4 linked regions of the Sus scrofa genome follow. The protein of the gene in region 4 interacts with the protein of the main gene of each other region in a pairwise test. Links are inferred from orthologs where the notes say so. Each region holds a gene or a part of one and is shown on either strand. Other genes may lie near its edges.

What was found.
Region 1: the proteins of TNIK (region 4) and NEFM interact in a two-hybrid assay, tested with the Homo sapiens proteins (2 studies listed by BioGRID and IntAct). The link is inferred for Sus scrofa from reciprocal best matches to the Homo sapiens genes TNIK and NEFM.
Region 2: the proteins of TNIK (region 4) and DPYSL2 interact in a two-hybrid assay, tested with the Homo sapiens proteins (2 studies listed by BioGRID and IntAct). The link is inferred for Sus scrofa from reciprocal best matches to the Homo sapiens genes TNIK and DPYSL2.
Region 3: the proteins of TNIK (region 4) and PPM1E interact in a two-hybrid assay, tested with the Homo sapiens proteins (2 studies listed by BioGRID and IntAct). The link is inferred for Sus scrofa from reciprocal best matches to the Homo sapiens genes TNIK and PPM1E.

The regions. Positions count from the first base shown.
Region 1 is NC_010456.5:8,961,715-8,965,566, forward strand, and holds part of NEFM (neurofilament medium polypeptide), read left to right. Parts: 5' UTR 1-248; coding exon 249-1,328; intron 1,329-2,064; coding exon 2,065-2,189; intron 2,190-3,407; coding exon 3,408-3,852. UniProt on the Homo sapiens protein: Neurofilaments usually contain three intermediate filament proteins: NEFL, NEFM, and NEFH which are involved in the maintenance of neuronal caliber.
Region 2 is NC_010456.5:10,532,967-10,536,818, reverse strand, and holds part of DPYSL2 (dihydropyrimidinase-related protein 2), read right to left. Parts: intron 2,010-3,852; coding exon 1,839-2,009; intron 1-1,838.
Region 3 is NC_010454.4:35,254,305-35,258,156, reverse strand, and holds part of PPM1E (protein phosphatase 1E), read right to left. Parts: intron 608-3,852; coding exon 1-607. UniProt on the Homo sapiens protein: Protein phosphatase that inactivates multifunctional CaM kinases such as CAMK4 and CAMK2. Dephosphorylates and inactivates PAK. May play a role in the inhibition of actin fiber stress breakdown and in morphological changes driven by TNK2/CDC42.
Region 4 is NC_010455.5:109,660,806-109,664,657, forward strand, and holds part of TNIK (TRAF2 and NCK-interacting protein kinase), read right to left. Parts: intron 3,579-3,852; coding exon 3,408-3,578; intron 1,776-3,407; coding exon 1,632-1,775; intron 1-1,631. UniProt on the Homo sapiens protein: Serine/threonine kinase that acts as an essential activator of the Wnt signaling pathway. Recruited to promoters of Wnt target genes and required to activate their expression. May act by phosphorylating TCF4/TCF7L2.

The DNA of each region.
Region 1 (3,852 bases), on a different chromosome or scaffold from region 4:
GAGGGGCCGGGGCCAAGGCATCAAAGTCCGGGGTCCCGGGCGGCGTGGGCCCACGTGGAGCCGGCGCTGAATCACTGCTGGGCTGTCTTCACCCCCCATCCCCCGGCCCGGTGCCCGCAGTCCCCGCCTCCTCGGCCGCCGCCTCCACGGGGCGGGGCCCTGGCCCGGGACCAGCCGCCGCGGCTATAAATGGGCTGCGGCGAGGCCAGCAGAACGCTGTGACAGCCACACGCCCCGAGGCCTCCAAGATGAGCTACACACTGGACTCGCTGGGCAACCCGTCCGCCTACCGGCGGGGAACCGAGACCCGCTCGAGCTTCAGCCGCGTTAGCGGCTCCCCTTCCAGCGGCTTCCGCTCGCAGTCGTGGTCCCGAGGCTCGCCCAGCACAGTGTCCTCCTCCTACAAGCGCAGCGCTCTAGCCCCGCGCCTCACCTACAGCTCGGCCATGCTCAGCTCCGCCGAGAGCAGCCTCGACTTCAGCCAGTCCTCCTCCCTGCTCAACGGCGGTTCCGGGCCGGGCGGCGACTACAAGCTGTCCCGCTCCAACGAGAAGGAGCAGCTGCAGGGGCTGAACGACCGCTTCGCGGGCTACATCGAGAAGGTGCACTACCTGGAGCAGCAGAACAAGGAGATCGAGGCGGAGATCCAGGCGCTGCGGCAGAAGCAGGCCTCGCACGCCCAGCTGGGCGACGCGTATGACCAGGAGATCCGTGAGCTGCGCGCCACACTCGAGCTGGTGAACCACGAGAAGGCTCAGGTACAGCTGGACTCGGACCACCTGGAAGAAGACATCCACCGACTCAAGGAGCGCTTCGAGGAGGAGGCACGGCTGCGCGACGACACCGAGGCGGCCATCCGCGCGCTGCGCAAAGACATCGAGGAGGCGTCGCTGGTCAAGGTGGAGCTGGACAAGAAAGTGCAGTCGCTGCAGGATGAGGTGGCCTTCTTGCGGAGCAATCACGAAGAGGAGGTGGCCGACCTGCTGGCTCAGATCCAGGCGTCGCACATCACGGTGGAGCGCAAAGATTACCTGAAGACTGACATCTCGTCGGCGCTGAAAGAGATCCGCTCCCAACTCGAGTGCCACTCCGACCAAAACATGCACCAGGCCGAAGAGTGGTTTAAATGCCGCTACGCCAAGCTCACCGAGGCTGCCGAGCAGAACAAGGAGGCCATCCGCTCCGCCAAGGAAGAGATCGCCGAGTACCGGCGCCAGCTGCAGTCCAAGAGCATCGAGCTCGAGTCAGTTCGAGGCACCAAGGAGTCCCTGGAGCGACAGCTCAGCGACATCGAGGAGCGCCACAACCACGACCTTAGCAGCTACCAGGTAAGAACCGCGGCTGCGCGGCCAGCCTGCGCCAGCGCCAGCGCCGCGCGCCCCCGACACTCAGGCCCGCGCCCCGCCGCTCTCTCTGCCGCGCTCCCTAGTGGCCGCTGTCCAGTGCGCGCGCGCGCGACGCAGACCCAAGTTAGAGGCTCAAAGCGTCCTCGCCCCTCCCCATCCCTTTCACCCCCCTCCCCAACGCACCATCCCTAGCTCTGAGAGCCCTGACCTTTTTCAAAACGCGCTTCTTTTCCTCGGGAGTTCTAGTTTTGCACGCTTGCGCATTTAAAGTAGGAGGTATACATTTGAGTAGTTGATAAAGCAGCAACTTTAGGATAGCTGTGCAGAAACTCATATATTCTCAACTTTTCCAGCCGTGATCGGAAGAACTCCCCCAATTGGCTTCAGCCCAAAGGGCTCAGATGGGAAGGGCCAGGTCAGCCGTGGGGTTTCCCCATGCATGTTTGTTTCCTGCTGAGACGTGTTCTAGATCCGCTGGTCCCAGTGCGTGATGTGCCCAGGAAATGTCTAGTTGTCTTATTGATCCTGTTTGTTGTTTGTTTGTGAATTCCTGAGGTTTTTATTTTAAGAGGGGTGGTCTGGGGGCGGTATGAGAGGTTGGCCAAGCAGGAGGGAGTTAAGGGAGGTGGGGGGGGGGGCGGAGAAGGAGGGAGTAGCAAGTGTTTTGCCAAAGAAGCGGCCATTTGGAAGGATGAGTCTGTGGCTGTGTCTGTTTCAGGACACCATCCAGCAGTTGGAAAATGAGCTTCGGGGCACAAAGTGGGAAATGGCTCGTCATTTGCGAGAATACCAGGATCTCCTCAACGTCAAGATGGCTTTGGATATCGAGATTGCTGCGTACAGGTACCATGCTCACTGTGGACTGGCAAAATACTAACCGTACTGCAGAGGCTGGACAGAACCTGCACCACTTAAGTTAAAGCAATCAGGCTTCAGGAATCTTAAATCAGTGCCGGGTTTTCTTTCTTAATTAAAAAGTAATTTCTCTAAAGAATTGCAACTTTTTATGCAGCTTTAAAAGAGTAAACATTAGTTAAAATAAAGTGTTTTGAGGGAGGGCACTTATTAATTTCAGTGCTTAAACTTTTGCTTATTTTAGCTAAAATGTTCTCTGAATATTTGAAATAAAAACAATTTTAGTTTTTAATATTTCATCTAGCGCTTTCAGCTTTTCAACTTTATCATGTCAAGGACAAACATCAGGACATTCCATTTCTGTTTCTCTGTGACAGCTTGCTGTTGCCATCATCTGGCTGAGAAGGAATGTAGATTGATAGAATATATGTTTTTCATTTAGATTTAGATTTATAGATCTAAATATATATCCAGAGATAGAAAGATTAGAAATCTATTAACTGTTAAATCTATTAAATCTATTCATTGATGTCACCTTACCATTGACTAAGTTCATAGTTGAAAATCCTTCACTAAACAGTTTTTTTCAAACTACCAATAAAGTCAGTAATATTACAAGAATAAATTGCACTCAACTAAGAACCATCTATATTTTCAGGAAGGCTGACAAATTACAGGCTGACAAATTTTATGATTAAAATTACAGGCCAATTTATAACTTGATACACATATTAGCACTTAGATATGATATATATATATATATATATATATATATATATATATAGCCTGAATTCTGATATATGCTAAATAGCTTTGTAAAACTTTTGAGTATTATATTTGCTAAAAGACATTTAGTAGATATCTGAAAATCCAAATACTCAAGAAGGTCACTTAAAAGTTTTTTCGGCCCCTACAGAGCTCTTCAGAATATTGTCTTGTACCAAATGGGCTTCGGCAGAGCTGAGATTTGATAGCTGGGTGAAGGTAGTAAACTATTGGGCATGGTTAGTTATTGCATTGAGTGATTGGCTGATTGTCCCTGAGATCTGTCTCTGTCATTGACTATGACAGTGAAATGATAGCAGGTATTACTTCTTGTGATTCTCTTTATTCAAAGGTACCTACCACATTAGCCAAAATGTAATGAAGTTCAAAAAGCCTGGTGAGATTTTAATTATGCCTTGTCTTCTTCAATTACCTCCTCAGGAAACTTCTGGAGGGTGAAGAGACCAGATTTAGCACATTTGCAGGAAGCATCACTGGGCCTCTGTATACACACCGACAGCCCTCCATCACAATATCCAGTAAGATTCAGAAAACCAAGGTGGAGGCTCCCAAGCTAAAGGTCCAACACAAATTTGTTGAGGAGATCATAGAGGAAACCAAGGTGGAGGATGAGAAATCAGAAATGGAAGAAGCCCTGACTGCCATTGCGGAGGAATTGGCAGTTTCCATGAAAGAGGAGGTCAAGGAAGAAGAGGCTGAAGAAAAGGAAGAGAAACAAGAAGCTGAAGAAGTTGTAGCTGCGAAGAAGTCTCCGGTGAAAGCTGCTGCACCTGAACTTAAAGGAGAGGAGGAAGGAGAAAAGGAGGAGGGAGAAGGCCAAGAGGAAGAAGAGGAGGAAGAAGAGGAGGGCGCTAAATCAGACCAA
Region 2 (3,852 bases), on a different chromosome or scaffold from region 4:
CCAATTGGGATAACAATACCATCCCTTTCTTGAGAAGGTCAAATGAAAGGGAAAATGGAGCTGTGATGTTAAATGCATATGAAGAGGTAGTACCCCAAGCAGGGCCCTGGGACCCCTGCCCATAAAAGCAGCCCCTTCCGGACCCCTGAGAGGTTGTGAACGAAGTCACACATCAGTGTGGCTGTAAGGCTCTGCTGCAAAGCTCAGCCAGTCAGTGAGGAAGAATGAAAAAGTCAACTCTTCATACTGAGAGCTGAGCATCCTTCTCTGAAGTTACCCTCCATCTCTGCACCACAGGTACCAGTGCAGCCCAAACACCTCTAAATGGCAAAGGGGACCAGGATTCGGCCAAGGGCCCAGCGCTGTCCTGGAGCAATGCCAGACACCTTCCCAGCCCCCGGAGCTGTCGCAGCCCTTGGAGGAGGTGTCAGCACTTGCTGGCCCAGGCCACCTGGGGCGGGCAATCTAGAATCAGATGCCCTGTTAAGCCAGCTTTCAATTTAGAACTTGATCTAGAACAGCCTCTTCATTCACTAAGATGTCCTGCTGAAAAGCACAGGGAACTGTATCTAATCACTTGTGATAGAGCATGATGTAAAATATGAGAAAAGCAATGTATATATGTATAACTGGGTCACTTTGCTGTACAGTAGAAATTGACAGAACATTAAAAATCAACTGTAATAAAATTTTTTTTTTAAAAAAGAATTCACTGGAGTCCCATTGTGGCGCAGTGGTTAATGAATCTGACGAGGAACCATAAGGTTGCAGGTTGGATCCCTGGCCTTGTTCAGGGTTAAGGATCAGGCGTTGCCGTGAGCTGTTGTGTAGGTCACAGATGTGGCTCAGATCCTGCATTGCTGCGGCTCTGGCGTAGGCCAGTGGCTACAGCTCCAACTAGACCCCTAGCCTGGGAACCTCCATATGCCACAGGACGCGGCCCTAAAAAAGGAAAAAAAAAAAAAAAAGATTTGTATGGGTTTCTGACATAAAACATATAAAACCTATGTCCATTTCTTTTCCAGAGCTTGCCCTTTATCCATGTCCTTTCAATACCACACACACACACAATTTTTTCTATGAAGAACCAATGCTAACTAACACTTCTACCTAATTCTCCCTGACCTCACAGAATCACAGAACACGCAGGAGCCTCATCTAAACCCCTCATTCTCAGCCGACAAGCCCAAGACATGACACGAAGTCCCTTGCCCAGGGTCCCATTTACAAGACAGGGTCTTCCCAAGCATGCAGTCTAGACAGAGAAACAAGAGATACCCCAGAACTGCAGACCCTAAAAGCCTGATGAGAACAGCTGCCACAGTACTGATTCTATGTGGGGGAAAGTCAAAGTCAATTCATTCCTTTAGGACATAAGACCATCTGCCTTTTAGGCTTCCGGGCACAACCCTGACATGAGAAAACAGTGGCTTCAAAGAATAAGAATGCCAGTGGGCTTCTGGGGAGTGGACATCTGAATGTTTTATTTGGATCTCTTGGTGCTGCATCAAACTATTAAAATGGAATGCTGTCTGACTTCCAGAAGCTTCTGATGGCCAGGCATGACAGCCAGAGACTCTAAAGGTCCATAGATAGAGATGTCTATGCAAAGAGATGCTACCATACTCCAAAGTGAGGAAGAGATTAACAGTCTCACTGACCTCACTAAAGAAAAGGAAAGCTGTTTTTCTTAGCAACGTGCAAGTTATCACATCTCCTGGGGGAAAGTTCACTCCTATCACAGAGTTCTTTTTGTAAATCCAGGGGAATTGCCCCACCTGTCACTTTCTGTGACTGTAATTCATTTGGGTTGGGTCCACGAAGTGACCAGGGCTTACGCTATTATGGGTCTTGGCAGAGATGGTTTTCACGCTGTCCGGGTCCCAGATGACCAAGTCGGCATCGGATCCTACAGCGATGCGGCCTTTCCGGGGGTACAGGTTGAAGACTTTGGCTGCGTTGGTGCTGGTCACAGCCACAAACTGGTTCTCATCCATCTTCCCAGTGACCTGAGGAGGACAATCACACACACACACACCCCAAAAGCAGGTTAAAAAGTTGAAATGTTTTAGCAATAAAAAGGAACACATATCTGATACACATGGCAACGTGGATATTAGGGGGCACTGTGCTAAATGAAAAAGGCAACCTCCAAAGGTCACCAACTGTATGATTTCATTTCTATCACATCTTCAAAATAATCAAGTGACAGAGCTGGACGACAGACAGATCGGGGTGAGATGGAGATCCCTCCAGGGGTTAGGGGCAGGTGTGACGATAAAAGGGCAGCAGGAAGGGGATCTCTGAGGTGACAGAGGACATCTGTGTCCTAATTGCACTGATGATGGCATGAATCTACCTATGACAAAATGATACAGAACTATACACACATCACTGCACTGCTGGTCTTGGGTGTGGATATCACGATGATTATGTAAATGAAATGACAGGGGAAACCGGATGAAGGACAGACAGGACTCCTCTGCTCTGTCTTTGCACATTCCGCCCAATCTATAATTACTTCAAAGTAAAAAGGTTTTAAGGAGCTCCCACCGTGGCGCAGCAGAAACGAATCCTCCTAGGAACCATGAGGTTGCGGATTCGATCCCTGGCCTCGTTCAGTGGGTTAAGGATCAAGCGTTGCTGTGAGCTTCGGTGTAGATCACAGATGCGGCTTGGATCTGGCGTTGCTGTGGCTGTGGTGTAGGCCTGTGGCAACAGCTCCGATCAGACCCCTAGCCTGGGAACCTCCATATGCCTCAGGTACGGCCCTAGAAAAGACAAAACAAACAAACAAACAAACAAACAAAAGAAAACAGAAAGAAAAGCTTTTAAAAAATTGAAGGGGCTGCAATGCCTTTTCAGGAAACATCCCTTGGCTGGAACAGCTGTCCCTTTCAAAGACACAGATGCAGACCTTAGATCTATCCAATGAAAGCATGTCTGTCAGCCTCTGGCCCCTGTAGCTTATCCTGGATACCAATCACTTTCCCCATGTCCTGCCCCACACTGTCTCATCTCCACCACTTATGCTCCACGTCCCTTTAAAATGCAGGATCTGCCGCATTACCATGAGCTGTGGCGTAGGTCACAGATTCAGCTCGGATCTGGCATTGCTGTGGCTATGGTGTATGGTGGCTATGGCTCCAATTTGAACCCTAGCCTGGGAACCTCCATATGCCACAGGTGTGGCCCTAAAAAGATAAATAAATAAATAAATGCAGGATCTGAGGAGATAAATGCATCTCTCCGAGTTAGGAAACCTGCTCTAAATCCAATAGAAAAGTGGGCAAAGGAAATAAGCAGGTAGCAGAAAGGAGAAAAAAATACAAATGACCAAAAGCAATAAAAGAAATACTTGCTCTCATGAAAAATTGAGAAGAAATGTAAAACAGTGAGACACAAAATTCACAATCCAATCGGTGATACTTTCAGAGGGGGGTTGTTATGTTTTGTTTTGTTGTTTTTGGCCAGGCCCACAGCCTGTGGAAGTTTCTCGGCCAAGGATCAAACACAGGGCACAGCAGTGATCTGGGCTGCTGCGGTGACAACACTGGCTACTTAACCCACTGTGGAACTCCCTGGGTTTTCTTGATAATAACACCAATTCAGACCTGGTGGAAGTAACTGGAAATACCTTTATACTGTAGGCAGCATACAAATTGGTGCACTCTTTCTAGAGGGAACTCTGACAATATATATCAAAAGCCTTAAAAATATGCACACCTTTGACCCAGTAATACCACTTCTAGAAATTTCTCCTTCTAGCGTCATTAAAGATGTGTCTAAGGAGGTATCTATAAGGATGTTCATCCCAGTAAGAAAATCAAAAACAAAATAAAGGGTCAACCA
Region 3 (3,852 bases), on a different chromosome or scaffold from region 4:
AGCTCATTAATAAGATTTGCTTTCTTTGGTGCACCAGGACCAAACATCTCAACTGGTGGCAAAAACTGGGCACTGTGAGGTTTGCTTGCTTCTATCTGTGTGAGATCTAGGTAGCCTGGGTCTTCCAGCACGTTGATTTGGGACCCTGGGCTCAGGCTAGTTCTATCAGTGAATGAATCCACGCGCCCATCATAGCCTAGATCGGCTGGTGCTGAACACTGGTGCTGAGGCCAAGGGCGTTTGCACTCTCCATGATTCTCCTTATCATCCCCACCATCTTCTTGCCCTCCTTGAAAAGAGTTCTCTGTCCAATCTGATTCCTCACTAACATTTACAGCTTTGTTCATGTCCCTCAGGAATACCACAATAACAGTGATGTTATCACTTGACCCAGCATCACGAGCTGATGCCACTAATTTGTGGGCAACCATGCTGCTGTCTCCATTATTCTCCTTCAAGTGGTCAGACACAACTTTCACTGCCTCATCAGGGTTCACGGTATCATAGAAGCCATCACAGGCCAGAATGAGGTAGTCTTCAGTTCCATCCAGAACAGTAGAAGCAGAATCTGCATCCCCACAGATATATGGCTTATGTTCAGCATCTCCTGTGAGAATTATAAAATAGGTCAGATGTAGGGTTATTTTGCATTAAGAATGTTTATGGCCAGCTCAAATGTCCTAGGCAAAGAAGGGCCTTTTAGTTGAAGGGAAAATGTCAGCAAAAACTCAGAGGCAACTGTTAGGAAGTAATTTGTAGTTGAATATTGAGTGCTTGGAGTGGCAGTACACTGGAGACCCTCGGGCCCAGCTACATACTGAGATAATTGATCATCTACAGTGCACTTTGGAACTTTCAGATCTAAACCACTTCCAGATCCACTGGTTGTTTACATTCACTGTTTTCTTAGTACCTGGAGAAAACCTTAGCAAAAGGATCCTACTCCTACTGAGTAACCTTTTACTGCTACAGTGGATATTCATTGAGTTCTTTACATTAAAAAAAAAAGGATGTTTCTGGATTAGGGTATCATAATTCATGCATACACAGTAGTTTAAAAAGATTTTTACAAGGTGCTTTAACATTCTTGAAGTAGTCATAGCTTTAGTGGTTAATGATGTGAGCAATGGAGTCACACTGCCTGGCTCTAGATTGCAGTACTTGTTACTTACAAACTCTCCTCAATTACTACCCTTTTTATTGTATTAAAACTGAACTTTTTGACTAGGGGAAGATGAAATGAACATAAGTATACTTAAATGATGTGGCCATGTTATCACTGTTTCTGGTATCTGTTATAGGTTCTACTAGGTAAGGTTCTCTCCAGCACTTTACATCCCTGTTTAATCCTCAAATAGGCCCTCTGCTTGAACCACTGTGGGCCATATGCCCTATCCAGCAGGTTGCATGATGGGATTCCCTGAACAGCAGTTACTTAATATTTAATTACCTGGGTTAGTTTATCTATAAGGTAGAAAACCAGTCTTTTTTTTGGGGGGGGGGCACACTGTGGCATATGGAGGTTCCCAGGCTAGGGGGTGAATTGGAGCTCTAGCCGCTGGCTTTTGCCACAGCCACAGCCACACAGGATCCAAGCCATGTCTGCAACCTATACCACAGCTCACAGTGATGCTGGATCCTTAACCCACAGAGCGAGGCCAGGGATCGAACCCGCATCCTCATGGATCCTAGTCAGGTTCGTTAACCACTGAGCCATGAAGGGAACTCCCGGAAACTAGTCTTTTTCATGTATTAGCCAGAACCACCTTCCTCAAGTAAGGGTTTTTGATTTCATCAACTTCACTTCTATACCATGACACCTCCCAATAGCCTATTAGAGCTAATTATAACAATCATGGGGATTGAGTGTATTCCACCAATCCACTTTACTGAATTTCTCATCCCTTATTCCACCTGACTGTATTATTATCATCATTATTTTCTGAATTCCAGCTCTAAAAATAAATGTGATCTGAGTCATACTGTTCCCAAAAACCTTGTTTTAGTGTTTCAATTAAAAGGCTACTGCAACTGTTAGTTTGGAACAGAACATACAAAGATTTTCATAGAGAAAATGCTGCCAAAATTCTGGCTTTTCACCTGCTCTACTGTTGGATGTCAAATTCATGACATTTCACCCCCAAATTTGGTAGGAGGGCATGATTATCCATTTCATAGTAGAAAAAGCAATATCCTTTTGTCTTCAATCTCCTTGCTCCATATGCTAGAAACATCATGTCACTGTCAGCTTTGGATCATAAATCTGGAGGGCTCATGGGGGGAAAACTGTTGAAAAGTTTTTTATTTTTAAAGTGTTAAGTGTCATTTCTAAGTAGAGTTGAACTCTGCTCAGGAGTCCTTTTTCTTGTCCCTATTTAGTCTCCTATTTAGTCCCCTATTTTATTCCATGAGCTTTCCAAATATTTATCACATTTTTCAATTCCTTCCAATGAAGTTATTGGTTGATAGTAGATAGCCTACTTTCCTACTGCAAAGAAAATTAAAATTATCAGGCCTGAATTCCCTCAATTCCTACCCACCCCCCTGATTTAAAAAAAAAAAACAAAAAACAAAAACAAAAAAAAACTTAAGTGAATCACCTGTATCCACAACTATTTTCTCAGAGCAAGATGTGCTCTTTTCCTTCTGAAAGCTAACCTGTGCTGCTGAACCTAGCCCTCTAGGGCTCTGGCTTCTCTGTCATCTTCAATTTATCTTCCACTTGCTTTCTTTTTCAATCCTAAAAACATGCTCATATCTAAAATCTCCTAAAAGCAAAAATAATAAAAAACAACCCTTTCCCAAATCAGCTTTTCCCTCGAGCTACATTATTTCCCTTCACCACCAAACTGCCCAGGAACCTAAATCTATACATGTTCCTTTGTTATTGCTCACTTTTCCTCACCGGAATGTTTTCTGGTTTTTCCATCTACTAGTCCTACATTCCTTTCAAATGTTACCAATTATTTTCCACTTTCAAAATTCTGTGACTTTTTTTTTAACCCAAATCTTACCTGACTTCTGCAGCACCTGACCCTGTTGACTACTTATTCCTAGAAACCCTCTTCCCCTAGCATCTGTGATACCCCATTTCTATGTCTCTGATCCATTCCTGACTTTCTTCACTGCCTCCTCCATTTAATAATAGCACCAAGGCAGGGTTCTAAGTGTGGTGCATGTATTATACCATTTAATACAAAAACACCCTGTGAGTTAGGTACTGTTACTACTCCTGCTTTACAAAGGAACAGATACAAAGAAGTCAATTTCCCAAGGCCCATAGCTGATAAAGTGGCAGAGCCAAGATGGGAATCCAGAAAGGACTTCATGTTATTCCACCGTAAGTAATGAGTCTCATCCTCGGTCTCTCTTCACACTACATATTCCCAGCAGTGTCATCCATGCTTATAGTTTCCATTTTTATATATACTTTATGTATCACTTTATATATATATATGTATACATGCCACTGCACAGGTTGCTAGTATTATTGCCAATGTGAGATGAATTCCCAAATCTCTACCTTCAACTCAGAACTCTCTGCTAAGCTCTAGATCTATATTTCCAACTGCTTGGAAATGATCTCTTCCAAGACATCCCACAGGTACCTAGACTATAAAACATGTCCAAAATGAACTCATTATCTGCCCTCCTCCCCACCCCCCAAACTGCTGCTGCTTTATTACCAGTGTTTTATCATCTTCTCAATCACACAGGTCAGAAACCTGGAAGTTAACTTTCCTCTTCCCCCATAAACTGTCATTTCTGTCTCATCAATTTTACTCTCTCCTCTGTATCCCTTTTTAGCTGTCCTTACCACTGTAACATTGTATCGACAGCCTCCTAAATGAT
Region 4 (3,852 bases):
GGCATCAAAACATGTTTTATAAGTTGCAGATGTAATATACACCAGAAAAACAGATTCACTAAAGCACTGCACACTGGATTTGACAAGAGAGCACGTTTATAACTTAAATTAAGGGAACCCCTGTGCAGTTACTATTCTTTTATAACTGAAAGCACTGATTATGCATGGACCCCAACAGCTAAGGTGGGTGGGAGGAGGGTGGGGGTGCTTCCTTCTCTCTGGGCCAACACAGATCAGAGGGCAGTTCAAGAATCTTTGGCTCCTATTTCCATTTTCTTCTTTCCCTACCAACGTGCAGGAAACTGTTATACTTTTAAAAATGGGATCTGTCACTAACAACACAATGAGGCCTAACCATGAATTTTCTTCTATCATTTCCACTTTTGGTAGGTGACTGGCAGATATATTTGAATTGGTAGTGCAGCAATCAAGAAAGCATTAACCAGGATAAAGGACTACACTGAATTGAACTCGAATGATAGGACAAGAAGAATTTACTGGGTTCACCTTTATTTGGGGAGAATAAAAAGAGATGAAACCTCTGAGTATTCAGTGGAAAGGTCAAAGAAAGAGGGAACTGCAAATGAAGGCATTTTCTCAAAACAGAAATGCAGCTGTAGAGTTAAACTTTATTCAGGGTTCGATCCAGGTTCTTCTTTCCATTGGTAGGGAAAGAGGAAAACGGAAATAGGAGCCAAAGATTCTTGAACTGCCCTCTGATCTGTGTTGGCACAGAGGGGGTGAACTGCCCCCCCCGCCACCCCCCACCCCACCTTAGCTCGGTTTCTCTTTGTGAAACAATGGCTGGTTCTCAGGCATGGCTGCACAGTGGAAATGCCTCAGGTGCTATGAAAGCTTCTGAGACCTGGACCACAGGCCCTGAGATTCTGACCCGCTAGTCTGAGGCACATCCTGGATTTTGCACATCTCCTCATGGGGTTCTAATGCATGGGGGACAGTCAGTTTCATACTGGATGGGATGGGAGGGGAAGGGAAGAGAGGGTTGTTATTTATTAAATGCCTTCACACACCCCCCCAAAAAAAAACTTCCAGTAAACATGGACTCCTTCAGGTCACATTTTTAACTTGTCATTAATAAAGCCTTCACTTCTGTCTCCATCTTTTTTGAAGCTCTTTTGGGGAACCAGAAAGCTGCAGTGTAGCCATAATGATTCCTACATTCAAATCACCTTGCAGACTCAATCACTCAATGGGCCAGCTGCATTTACCAAGGTGTCAGTGAACTAGAAAGGAGCCCAGAGAAATTTCTGCTTACAAAACTCCTCACTCCCAGAAGCCTACTTTTTTATACTTGCATCTGAGAGTAGATGGCAGTGACCAGCATGTAGACACCTTAAAAAGATCCTTGCTGAGTCCCGGCAGAGCATTCGGGCCCTTAAGTGCACAGCCTTTGTGCTATGTCCTGATTCAGATTTCAGGCAGAGGTGAGAGACTTCCCTTTGAAGGTGAGAACCTCTAGAGTGACAAAACGTGGGTGATGTCACTCTGGCTCTGCTGCCGTAATTCAGCTCGCTGCGTGGGAAGGGCAGAGCTTGCTGTTCCTTCAGAAGCAAGGTGATTGCCTTTCCCACCTGCGCAGACCCGGAGGACTCGGCCATCCAGCGACGTACCTGATATTGTCACGAGGACATTCAGTCCCTCTAGCACATCCATCTGCTGAAACCGCCTCCGGTTGATCAGATTATAAACTTTGCCTTGCCCACTTCGGTCCAAAAGCATCAGGCCATTTTCGGTTCCCACCAGGAGATTTACACCTGCAAATTGAAGAAGCCCCCCAAGACTGACTCTTATGGGCTTTACTCTTCTACATCTAGGGTCCCCGTAAAAAACCTAAGAAACTCCCTTGCAAATATAAACTAACGGGCAAGCAGGCACTACAGTAGGGAGTGGAGAAGTAGAAACTCTGAGACAGTAATTAAATCACCATCCCTCTGGTAACGAAATTAGTTCTCTTTTATGAAGTGGCAGCAGCGTTCATTACAGGTAGCTCTGTACTACCTAGAATAGAATTTTTCTCAAGAGGGGCCTGAGGCACAGCTGTGAAGCTGACACAGTTTACCTTGATTCCTTTCCTGTAACACCCACCCTTTTCTTGGCTCTCTCTTTAAATCCTCCCGAGACTTCCCCAAGGTTCACCTCACTCCTATTCATGCAGTGATTTCCAGCCTACCCACCTTGGGCATAGATGCCCTCCTCCCATATCCTACAGGAGGAAAAGCCCTCCCTCCTCCTCACACCAAGGCTTAATTTGTGTCCTACACCCTTTGCTGGGGACATGATGAGCCAATTCAAGTGAAGGTGTTAAGGGCCTGAGGGTCAGGCAAATACTGACTGTGATTCTAGACCAGTCCACCTCCCATGCAGTTAATTCCTGTTACAAAAACTCCGGTAGGTAGGTAAGTGGTCTTGTCTGAATAGCTACGATCCTGAAGATTCATCCTTAGGCAAATGAGCACCCCGTGCACTCTCACCACACACACAGACGTGTACACATGCTGGGAGGTCGACTATACAATGGCCTATATTCACAAACAGGTAAATGTCCAACTTCTCTGGCTTATTGTACAACTTTCTTCTAAGTAACATGAAGGTCTGCTCTTTCAACCACATGTTCATAGAAACCATGACACATGTCTTTCAACCATCAAGTGTTTCAACCACAGGCTTGACCACATTTCCCATGAAATAGCTTCTAGGTTTCATGCTCGGCCCTGCTAACATCTCAAATGCGTTTGCCCTTGTAAAATGGTGGTGCCCTGAACTAGGCCTAGTGTGATATGTGGGTACAGATGGGCCATGTCCTCTCTTGATGTTTATGGTAACACAGACCAGGATTTTGATAGGCTCTCATCACACCTATCCTGAGTCTGAGGTCATCTCAAACCTGCAGATCTTTTTTATAAGAACTGCAGGTTGATGTTTTGAACTAAAATGGAAGACTCATCATTTGTCGCCCTTTTCAGGTTTTATCTTGCTACTCTTACTGGTATGGCTTTTGACAATTCACTGATAGATTCTGGGCTGCTTTTCTTCTACAAGGGGTCACATCCCCTTGTAGAATGTTGTATGCATCAGGGAGACAGAATGTGGAGCACATCACCTAGAGCTGGGCACACAGGGGTAGGTACTGAATGGTAGCTAGTCCTGTTGTTGGCTTTAGTCCATCACTATTACATGACAAGGTCATTCCGAGTCCCATTCTGTTATCCTGGGAATTAGGGTATTAGCTCTTTCTCCATATAATATTGTTTTCGAACTTTCCTGAGGTCAAGATGATCCCAAGTCTAACACCCAATTCAGTCAGCACCCTTCTGATGGTTAAGACCCATAGGCTTTTCACGTTTGAGGGTCAATTCATTAATGAACAGTAAAAAGCACCAACTCACCCCACAGAGCTGCACAAAGTATTTCTGAGTTGAATCGCTTCTTGTATTTTCTGATTTCTGGCGTGTCGCTATGAGGCCGAATGTTGGTTGGGTTTACGTTTACCACTGAAATCTTTCTTGCTTCATTTAGTTTGGCCTGTTCTTGCCTAAGAAGTTCGCTAGTAAACAGAGCTTTGAGAAAAAGAATCAGAGAAGTCAGTGGCATCTTAAAATAAAACCAATGGAGATATGGAGAAGGGGCTTCAAAAACATTATGATTTCTCCTTGTTTAGTGTGTGTTATAGAAAAGGCAAAGAAATTTTGAAACTATAGCTATTTTCTACTTTTTAGTAGAATAAAGTATAAGTCATTTGTAGAAGAGGTATTTTATACATTAGTAAAACAGGTTTATAGACACTACTTGGGTAGTTTAAGGAATTAATATTCATCTCATAAAATTAAATAC